2 linked regions of the Mus musculus genome follow. The protein of the gene in region 2 interacts with the protein of the main gene of each other region in a biochemical or structural test. Links are inferred from orthologs where the notes say so. Each region holds a gene or a part of one and is shown on either strand. Other genes may lie near its edges.

Region 1 (5,373 bases), on a different chromosome or scaffold from region 2:
GGCTCTCGGTTGGTGAACACCTTATTTGGTCTAGAGGCACTTTGCTCTGTGATTGAGTCATGAAGAGATATTAAAAAGGCAGCCAGTCTGTATTTTGAAGCAAACACTCAAGTCTCTCTTGTCATCGCGGACCCCCTTACAGACACACGGCACGGAACCTCGATTGAGCTGCACTGCTGTCTTTATTGCACATGGACCAATTCCCACACGGTAGTTAGTTGCACCAGAGTATAAATACTTGGTCACACACACAAGAAGAGATAGAATATACACACGAGTGCTAAATTTTACCAGCAGATTCACGGGGGCACTTGGACATTAAAAAATAATAATAAAAATACGTAAGAGAATAATATTTATAATATGGATACAGTTACAGTACCATGATAAGAGTATAAAAAGTAACTTCCCAATAAACCATCAACTCAATAACATAATAGACAAGAGAAACTGAGTTTGAATTTTATTTTAGCTTTTTAAAGATCTGCCCACCTCCCCATCCCAGTAAAAATATTTAATTTTTTTTGTGCAAGTTAACAACTTCTATGAATTTTACAATGCCTAACACTGTGCAAAATGGCCTTCCAACCACTGCCTTTTTTTTTTTTTTTTGCCGTCTTTGTTTTTAGCCACATGTGCAATAATCTCAACTGTTTCCTTTTTGTTCTGTCCTATCTTTAGTTGACAGAGTCACATGTCACAGAGAGAGACTCAGCGCCTGGTCCTTCCAACTAGTATTGATACATAAATAAGCTGTTTAATATAAACAAGTCTTTCTATCTTGCTGTGCAATATGCACAGAGTGAGGTAGAGGACCCACAGCAGGACCACCGAGGCGCGCAGGGCACAAGGTTTGCCCTCTAGGAGAAAGCAAGGTGAACCGTGCTCCACACATAGTTTCTCGAAACCAGATTTGTCTGTTTCGCATCCTTCTTTTCCCTTTGCTTTAAGAACAGGAGACACCAGTACTCCGGAATTAGTATGCAATTTCTTTAGAAAGCAAAGGGAAACACTTCCTGGCTAATTATCACCGGCCCCGCCCCCACACCAAACCTGAGCTGAATACTTAGGTTCCTAGGTGTGGAACCGGAAAGCCAGGTGATAGACTCCATCCTGCCCCCTCCCCTCCCCGCCTAGTTTCCACTCGGGTCCTTGCAGAAAGTGTCAAAACCCACCTAGGGGCGGGGGGGGGGGGGAATGCCTGAAGGTGCATTAAACACACGAAAGGCCGAACCTCAGAGAGAAAGGAACTCAAGACAAGCCAGTAAGCCATACTAAGCCACACTCTCCCAACTCCTCCTAAACTTTCCTTTTTGCGCAAACGCTCGGTCCGGGGCTTTTCTGTACGTCTCGGATGATTCGATAGATCTGTGGGCTTTGCATTCACCTGCTTTCGGTCTTGAGTAAACAGAGATCTCCTCTCTCCCCTGGGGAGCGGCTCAGGGGCGCCCAGGCGGGCTCTCTTCCTCTAGGGATGCAGAGCCCGTGTCCAGCCCGGGACTATGGGGAGCGGCGTCCGTGCGCCCAGAGAGCCTGGCTCTCTACACCTTGGACTCCGAGGAGAAGCCCTGGCGCCCCGGCTCGTCCAGGCTCGAATCGCTGTCCACAGTGGTTGTCCCGCCGTTGCAGCCGGTCCAGGGCTCCAGCAGGCGCGCCGGTGGGGTGGTCCCGGCGTCGTCGTCGTCGTCGTCCGAGGGAGCTCCGGGGGACGGCGGCGGCCCAGCTCTCGCCAGGCAGCCGGAGGCGCGCGGCCGGTCCCCGTGGGCTGCGCGGCGTCTGCAGGCGGCCCGGCGCGCGCAGCAGAGCAGGCGCTGGAAAGCCTTGCGGAAGTCGGGGCTGCGGCAGTAGATGATGGGGTTGAAGGCCGAGTTGGCGTAGCCCAGCCAGTTGAAGAAGACGAAGAGGCGATCCGGCACCAGGTCGCGGTGGAAAGCCTTCACCACGTTGGCCAGGAAGAAGGGCAGCCAGCAGAGCGTGAACACACCCATGATGATGCCCAGTGTCTTGAGCGCCTTCTGCTCGCGCAGAGCCACGAGGCGCGACGGCCGCCGCTTGCTGGAGCGCCCGTTGGCCAGCGAGTCTGCGGGGCGCGGTGGCCCAGGTGACGGCGAGGGCTCAGGCGAGGGCGGCCGGGCTGGGCCGCCGAGGAAGCGGCGCTCGCAGCTGTCGATCTTCTTTACCTGTTTTTGGGCCTCGCGGAACACCCGCAGGTACACGAAGGCCATGATGCACAGGGGCACGTAGAAGGAGACGACGGACGAGGCGATGGCGTAGGCCCTGTTGGTGACGAAATCGCAGCACTTGGGGTCGTTGTAGCAGCGGCGCGCTTCGTCGCTCTCGGCCCGCCACCAGTGCATGAGGATGGGCAGGAAGGACACCAACGCCGAGATGGCCCACACTGTGCACACGAGGGCCCGCGCTCGCGCGCGCGTCAGCAAACTCTGGTAGCGAAAGGGCGACGTGATGGCGAGGTAGCGGTCCAGGGCGATGACACACAGGGTCTCAATGCTGGCCGTCACACACAGCACATCTACCGAAGTCCAGAGCTCGCAGAAGAAGGAGCCGTACTCCCAGCGGCCCCACACCACGATGGTGGCCCCGAAAGGCACCACCAGCAATCCCATGACCAGATCAGCGCTGGCCAGGGACATGATGAAGAGGTTGGTGAGCGTCTGCAGCCGCGGGGTCTTGGCGATGGCCACGATCACCAGCACGTTACCCACCACGATGAGCAGAACGATGAGCGCCAGCAGTAGGCCCATACCCGCGGTCCACTGCTGCGACAGCGGCGCTGAGCCCTCGCTGGCTGGAGGCAGCAGCGAGGCGGGAGGCGACGCGAGCACCAGCAGCCGCGCCGCGGTGGCCGCACCGTCGGGCAGCGGCGCGGCGGACGACAGGTTGCAGGGTTCGGAGGCGCCCAGGGCGAGCGCCCCCGCGCCCATGCCGAGCTGCGGAGGCCGGGGGCGGGGGGTGTGGCGGGGCTGGGCCGCGCCTGGGGAGCACCCCAGGAGCCGGGGCTGCGGGGCCCGCGCGGGGAGGTCGCGGCCAGGTCAGGGCAGCCGCGGCTCGGGGCCGGAGGCATGGACGCCGGGCGCCTTCTCCTCCGTAGCCGAGCGCTGTCTCCGCCGCCGCCGCCGCCGCTGCTGCTGGAGCCGCTGTCGCTGCTGGAAGAGCCGCCGGGACCTCAGCATGTTTCTGAGCGCGCGGGGCCGGCGGCTCCAACACCCAGCACCTCCCCCCCCCCCTTCGCTGCCACCCCCCCAGCCAGCCCCCGGGGCCGCGCGTCAGGCTCCCGCAGCCAATCGCCGCCAAGGCACGCCCCCGACAATGGTGCCCCCACCCCCAACACCCAGCACCCCCTCCTACCCGCGATTGAAAGGCTCCAAAGATTGCGGGCGGACTACGCAGCCAGCACCCACGGGCTGCAGCGAGCGCGCCCTTTCCTGCTCAGGCTTCTTCCAGAGTCTAGTCTGCGGCGCCCCCTGCGGCGCCCCGCCGCCTCCTGTGCCCCCCGCCAACCAGTAGTCTCCGTTAACCTTAGCACCCAGCTCTCCTTTTGCCGCTCCCGCAAGAGCGCCCTTATTTCCCTTCGGCACCCCGTAGTTCCCTCGCCTCTAGTGCCCGGTTCCTGGTAGCTATAAGAGAACCTTACAGGCGTCTCGGAGACGCAGGAGTGCCTTGGACAGCCTATCTGCTGGGATTGGAGGAATTTAGCTGTGAGACTGGGGTTCTGCCATCAGGCAGCCTGGCTCTTCCCTGATCGCGAGGGGACCTGGCCAGCATGACAGCTTGGGGGAATAGGAAGTGGGTGTTAGTGATTAGAGGAAACTTTGCAGCCAGGCGGGTTGCTGGAGCAGGGTACGCATCTGTCAGAAAGGCTCTCTGGGCGCTGTTCTCGCGCGGAGCTGTGCTCTCTCCTTCAAGTGCAGTAGATGGGGAAAGGAAGGGAAGGTTTGTGGATGTAACTGCCAACACCGAGGACCAGTCGGATACACACACAGGCCCCAGTCCCAGCTAAAGAAAAGGATGAAAGAGTTCTGAATATAAAGGAGAAGTTTAGGGCAACATTCAGTCCAGGGTAAATGACGTCGCCCCACCCCCACGCCCCTCGTGGAAAGAACACGGAGAATGACGCTTCAGACTTTTTGACTCCAGTACCAACACCTTAACATCCGCATCTGTGCTCCGTTACCCATGGGATTTTGCAATCTGAGCTGAGCCAACACAAGGTGCTATCCCTTTTGGGTTGACGTCATGAACTGGGATTTCAGATTTCTTGGGAGGGTGGCTAGATTCTCAAAACTGTGGGATTAGCTTTGGGAAGATGAGGGAAGAAAATATATACATACTCAAGGCGATTAAATCTGAAAGCATTTAAAGTCATACCACATTTCCTCGCTTCACATTGTCGAGAGAATCCGAAACTAGAGTCTTTGGCTTCATTCCTGATGCGAACAGAGGATGGGACCTCGGGCTGAGGTCCTCTGATCTACCCCTGGGAATGCCTCTACCTCAGGCCGTAAAAAGGAAATCTGTAATTAAGTTCTTGAGAAGCGAACAGTTCCCAATTGTCTCAGAAGGGAAGGGTGCACGGTAGTGTTATATAATGTTATGTAATGCTCCCGAGTCCTTCTTGCATTGGAATAAAAAGATTAGCATCTGGGAGGAACATCAACATGTGGCCAAGCTGGTACTCTCACCTTGCCAAAAGACACAGGCTCACAGCTGTCCATCCACAGCCGTACTCTTCATAAAGTCAAACCCGTGGATGTGCCCTAGGATCAGGCTTGACCACTGAGAGTGTTACCACGGGGGAGTGATCTGTTTATTCACCCCTGCCCTGGACTTACCAAGTTCTGCCAAGTTGGGGAGTTTTGAGAATCAGGGAACAGGAACTACACCGAGGGCAGAAGGAGTTGGCACCCATAGTCACCCCAGCCTCTTCAAGCCAGGGTCTCTCCTTCCTGTGGCTTTTAGGGGATGGCTGAAAGGACTCAAGGGACAATCTGAAAAACGCCCATGTTTTGAAGTGAGCTGACCAAGAAAGGGCCTCTGAGTGCTGGGGTGTGGGGAAATGTGGAAAGAGGCTTTCTGCTAAGTGGTGCTATTGGGGTGCAGTGTATCGACCTCGTGTCCCCAGGGCATGGGGTTTCTTGGGATGATAAGGCCAGAACTGAGCTGTAGAGATTGGAGTCAGGAGCCGAGGCTGGTAACCTTGTGCTATTTATATGTATGAACACACCAGGCGGCAGGACCACCATTCTGGATTTTGTGACCTTTCCCCTTGATGACTTGGTGTTACATCAAGTTTCTCTGCATTTCTGTGGAATAAATACATTCAAGTAAGCATTCAAAAACCAGGAGGCTTTTCTA
Region 2 (5,669 bases):
TATAATATAACCATAATACGTGATAAACAATTAGAATAACAGCGGACACATTGGAGGTAATTTGTAACTGCTGTTAAACAAATGCAAATTCTGTTCTTCACTGCCTCTATCACTTTCCACTTAGAATGGTGCTTTATAATCCTCAGCCTAACTTTTCATGAGACTGGCCTTTCAATGGAAATCTTGCTGGCTCAGGAGCATTCCTTAAGGCCAAGGACTGGGTAGTCCTCACCAGTCATAGCCAACTTTTCTCAAATGGAAAAAGGCACAAAGTCAAGCAAATTCATCCTTTGTAAAGATCTTCAGCTCTGACCTAATTTGCTGTCCTCTCCACGATGTGGGGGTGGGGCTGAAGAGGAAGAACCTACTGTTCAAAGCCAACAAACCTGTATGGGGCAGTCCCTTCCCTGCCTTGCCTGTCTGTCTTCTCAGTGCACCAGGCCCCACTAGTACTGTTACCCCTATTTAAAAGGAAACAACCAGAGAAAGGTGGAACAGCCTGCTAAACGTGGCACTCCTGAAAAGCCCCAGAGCCAGGATACACACCCCCTCTTTTCTGTCTGGGTCAGCTAAGCCTTTTGAACCGCCTTGCTTTCCTCCCACACTACATCCCAGACATCAAAGCTCTTAACTGCTGATAATTCCTTCCCATACTCTGATTTACAAAGATGAGTGGGTGAGTGGTTCCTTTTTTTTTTTTTCTTTTTGCCTGAAACATATTATTTCAAAGTTAAGCAAATGGAATGTAAGCTACGGAAACTCAAAAAGCACCACTCAGGGTTTGACTGGAGAAGTCAGCAGCCCTCAGCCCCCTGTGTCCTGCTTAGCTTTCCACCTGGCTCTAAATTTGGAGAAGGGGAAGGAGCTAGATGGGGGTACAGCGCTCCACCAAGAGCCTTCTTTTCTTTCCTGTAGCAGACTTGTTTGTCTGATTAACCTAAAACTTGACTCCTGTCCAGGTTACACTCACCATTTATATGTCTAGGCTCTTACTCCATTTATCTCCCTAACACCTACCCCACCGCCCCTCTCCACTCTTCAACTAGGGCAGGTGCCCTCCTCTATCCTGTCTCCACTCAATCCTCTTCAGTTTCTTCCAAGAGGACACATGGCCCTGCTCTGCAGATGTTATTTCACCTTATTCTTGCATCCAGGACGACCAGACTCCTTCCTCTAACTTTCCTCTATCGGAGGGGCACTTCTGAGAACTTTGCGAGGAATGAAAGACTGTAAAAAGTGGAGCGAGCCAATAGTGAAGTCTCTCCACGGGCTCCGCCTGCCAGGCCCTCTGCAGTTCCATGCTGGGACCCCGAACTCCAGCTTCCTTGTGGCAGGATGGAGCCCCAGAAGACTGTGCTGTAGATGGGCCACCAGGCTCGGCATCGGGTTCCCCGGATTTCTGCTTTGTCCAGTGTTGGGGTGTGGGCAAGTCGGGGCGTCCTGCAGGCTAGCAGCCCGGCTCACAGGGAAGCTGAAGACAGGTCCACCCAGGGATCCCGGCTCTCTTCACCGGCCTGCCCATGTCGGGCCTCCGCTCCCCTCCTTCCCGGCTCCCGCCTCCTCCCGCAGGCTGCAGGGCGGCCCGGGGCCTGCCTCTCCCAGCGCCTTCACTACCGGGTCAAGCCGCGGAGGGAGGGAGACGGCGGCGAAGCCCTCCCTGGCGCTCCACTCGGTGCGCGCGCCTCCTCCCTCGGCTCGCATCCCCCAACGCTCCCCCCTCCCCGCCGCCCGCTTGCATCCTGCCAGTACAGTACAACTAGTACACAGGCACACACGCGCACACGCGCACACACACGCGCTCCCTACCGCTGCCACTGCAGCTGCCATGGATATCGGCTAACAACACAGAGGCCGGCGAGCGCGCGCGCGCTCCCCACTCGCAGCACGCAGGAGTGGCCCCCGGCATCCCTACCCTCCTCCCCACCCCCACGCCACCCGCTCACCAGCTCGGCCACTGCTCGCGCTGGCTCGGCCGCCGCCACCGCCGCTAACGCCGCCAACGCCACCACAGCTTCCTCCGCTGCGGGGCCAAAGCCTTGAGTGTCATTCAAGGGACAGCACAACCTCACCCAAGCTCTCCTACCTCTGCCCAGCCGTCCCTCTCATCCTCCCCCTTCCTCCGCCACACTCCATCCAAAGAAGAGGGAAAGCGCGGAGCAGAGGGAGAGAAAGGCAAAGTCTGCCACCCTCTTCCCTTGGCCCCCTTGCTCCTCCATCCCGATTTTGACTCCCAGACCCTCCTTCCCAAAGGACCCTCTGGAACTGAGGCGACTCACCCTACTGCCATGTCCAAAAGCTTGAAAAAGAAAAGCCACTGGACTAGCAAAGTCCACGAGAGTGTCATTGGCAGGAACCCGGAGGGCCAGCTGGGCTTTGAACTGAAGGGGGGCGCGGAAAACGGACAGTTCCCCTACCTGGGGGAGGTGAAGCCGGGCAAGGTGGCCTATGAAAGCGGCAGCAAGTTGGTGTCCGAGGAGCTGCTGCTGGAGGTGAACGAGACCCCCGTGGCGGGGCTCACCATCAGGGACGTTCTGGCCGTGATCAAACACTGCAAGGACCCCCTCCGGCTCAAGTGTGTCAAGCAAGGTGAGCGCAGCTTGTTCGGTGCTCTGCCTGGCGGTGGGACCCCGGCGTGGGGATGGCATTAACAGGGTGGGCGCGGGTGTTGGATGGGTGTATGCTGCGCCACCGCGGGGTGGGGTCCAGAGAGCACGGTAACTGTGTTCGGAGCATTAGGGGGACCGGGACTGGGGGGCTGGCTGGCCGGCTAAGCCAGGTGGTACTGTAGCAGGCAACTTAGTTTGCCCAGTTGGACCCTCCCCTTTGGAAGATGCTTGGCCTTGTCTGACCTCCTCTGAGCTTTAGGCCAAATAGAATGTGCGCCAATGGCATGTCCACAGTGGACACAGAGCTTTCGGGGAAGGAGGAAAGCAAGGGAGGAGGAAGAAAGGAAGATGGAGCAACTTGAGGTGCAGAGCTGTCGCTAGAGAGAATGGGAGAAGCTCTGAATATTGGGGCAAGTGGAGACCCCTTGCAGGATATCCAAAACTAGTCTGGAGACACCTTGGTCCGTAGCGGTTCCCTAGGGATCACTGACGGGAGAGGAAGGAAAGGGACAAATTGGTTTGGACGCTTTGACCGGTAGTGTTCAGTAACTTTTTCCCTGCTTCACTCCTCGGTCTTTCTCCCCCGCCCATGGTCATGTCATGTGGGCACCGTGAGTCACGTGCAGACTGACTAACCCTAGAGATCGCCCCTGGCCAGCAGGCAGGAGGAGGGGCAGAGATTAAGAAGCGGGGAGCTGGGAGAGCTTTCTAATGTGGAAGGGGAGGCAGACTGCGGCATTACAAGGGTTCCCCTAAGTATTCTTCATTGACTGGAATTTTCTTATTGACTAGGATTTCTCTGTGGTTGGACTCTCCTCTAGCTCCAGACATGGGGGCGTGTTTGTGGCATAGAGGTGGATGGAGATGCAAGCTGGTCAACAGCCCAGGCTCCCTGTGTTCTAACTTGGCTTCTGTCAAGTCTCTTCTAGGCTGTGAAGTTAATTTAGAGAGATTGGAATCTTGCTGAAAAAATGTCTTTGCTTGAAATAAAATTGTGGTCCTGAGAGAAAACTTTCATTAGAAAAGACTTTATTGTACAAATGTAGCGTGCCTTTGTTTTCCTCTGGTGGTAATGCAGTTTCTTGGGTGGCACAGGTGGACAGGACAGATCTGTCTCAAACATACCAGCATGGTATGACAGTTTGTTATCTATTGTTATTTGTCTTGCGCCAGTGTTGAAATTCTGAGTATTACTGTATCAGAATTGCTCTTCATGCTGTGATCCATTATGAAGAAATACTATATAGAGCAGTTGTTTTTTTCAGAATAAAATTAACATGTAAAAAGAAAAGTTCCGAAGTAAACAAGAGAGAATAAAGGTTCATAAACTTCTCTAAAGCTAAGCTGTCAAGGAAGAAAACATCTTCAGTGGGATTTATTGAGTATCCATCGTATGTCATTTTAGATGATCTAATATAGACATGCAGTATTATATGACCCTGAAGAAGAGGGTTTACTATCCTAGCATTTTCCAAAGTGACATACTTTGAACTCAAATTCAGAAAATTGTGTTGCTACATTTTAGGTTACGATACTACATAATAGCAATAGATAACAAATGTGAAGTTCAAGGCTAGGGTTCAGTTTACTACAATTGACCAATACCGTTATTTGGTGGTAAAAAATATTGGTGTTTGCAAAGGAAAACAACTGCAAAAGTTAATGCTTTTAAAATATCTGTTTGTTTAGGGGTTGATGGTTTATGGATGGGTGAATGGATATGCCCACTGTGTGATATGGAAATCAGAAAACAGCCCTTGAAAATCATTTCTCCCCTACTGCTCTGTGGGTGAGAGAGGGAAATTAGGCTTGCTGAGACACTTTTCCTGAGATCAGCCTCACAAGCCCACGTTAATACATTTCCACAGTGATTATATTCTACTGTGGTTCCCGCTGATCATTTTATTCTGATGCCTACATGTTGAGGTAGATGTTGGCAAACTTTAATACTCGTAAACAATAAGTGTTTATGAGTATTAATAAAATAAATAATTAAAAGAAAATATTATCTAGTATTAGCAATTTACTAAAAGAAATCCAGAGAGACATTGGAAAACTGAAGGCATAAAAGTTGTGCAAATTGAGAATCTGAGATAAGAAATGGGATTTTCTGGCCTATTCTGTGATAATGCTCATAATAAAGCTAGGGCAAATTTGGGAAGTCTTTCCCTTGGGGAAGCATAATTTCTAGCAGAACAGAGCTGGGAGTGATGTTGTAAGATGAGGTTTCCCTACTGGACCTTGACAAAGAAGCAGAAAGATCTACAGAGGGTGATCCCTGCCCAGCCTTGATTTTAGCTAAAATTCATCCTGATCAATCAGCTTCTTGCTTGTATTTTGTTTGGAAGAATAAAGCTGTTCAGATTCAGGACACTTATTATTATGGACTGAAATATTTAGGTGAAAATCTTTTCACAGTATATGTTAACCCTTAGTCTGTCAGTCTCCAGGTATCCAAATATAGACATTCATCTACAGAATTAAAATAGATATAAATAGATTAATTAATTAATCTATTTTAGCTTTTTAAAATCTATAATCGTATATGTTTATTTAAATGTAGTGATTCCTATATATTCTCTTATAAAATTGATCTTTTATCAGTGGTGATTAGATTTATTTATTTATTTATAATTATGAGTAAGTGAAAATTGGCAGACATTAAATATAGAGCTTGTGATTGTTGGGTTTCAGTAGGGTTTGTACTTGTTTGAAAATTGGGTTGAGCTTTAGGCTTAGTAGTTCTATTTCTGGGGGGAATCAAGAAAAAAAAAATAGAAAAACATAGCATAGCCAGAGAACTCATACATGGCTTGCTAGTGAGGTGGATTTTTAAAAATATTAATGAGATTGATTTTAAAGGTTTAGTTAAATATTGGACATTATGCAGAAACTACATGTATAGTTATAGCAAAAAAAAAAAAAAGAACTTGGGGAGATTTGTTAGAAATGGGAGATATGTATAATAGAAAGCACTAGCAAAATATACCCCAAATAAATTGCCATATTTACCCAACTTTTACTTACTTTTTGGCTAATTTTACATTATAGTTATTATAGATT

What was found. The genes of interacting proteins can lie anywhere in the genome.
Region 1: the proteins of Magi2 (region 2) and Adrb1 interact in a test that uses a peptide from one of them, tested with the Homo sapiens proteins (4 studies listed by IntAct, with this or other methods). The link is inferred for Mus musculus from reciprocal best matches to the Homo sapiens genes MAGI2 and ADRB1.

What each region holds. Positions count from the first base shown.
Region 1 is NC_000085.6:56,719,941-56,725,313, reverse strand, and holds Adrb1 (beta-1 adrenergic receptor), read right to left. Parts: upstream 3,198-5,373; 5' UTR 2,943-3,197; coding exon 1,542-2,942; 3' UTR 164-1,541; downstream 1-163. UniProt on the Homo sapiens protein: Beta-adrenergic receptors mediate the catecholamine-induced activation of adenylate cyclase through the action of G proteins. This receptor binds epinephrine and norepinephrine with approximately equal affinity.
Region 2 is NC_000071.6:19,225,004-19,230,672, forward strand, and holds the start of Magi2 (membrane-associated guanylate kinase, WW and PDZ domain-containing protein 2), read left to right. Parts: upstream 1-2,042; 5' UTR 2,043-2,285; coding exon 2,286-2,586; intron 2,587-5,669. UniProt on the Homo sapiens protein: Seems to act as a scaffold molecule at synaptic junctions by assembling neurotransmitter receptors and cell adhesion proteins. Plays a role in nerve growth factor (NGF)-induced recruitment of RAPGEF2 to late endosomes and neurite outgrowth.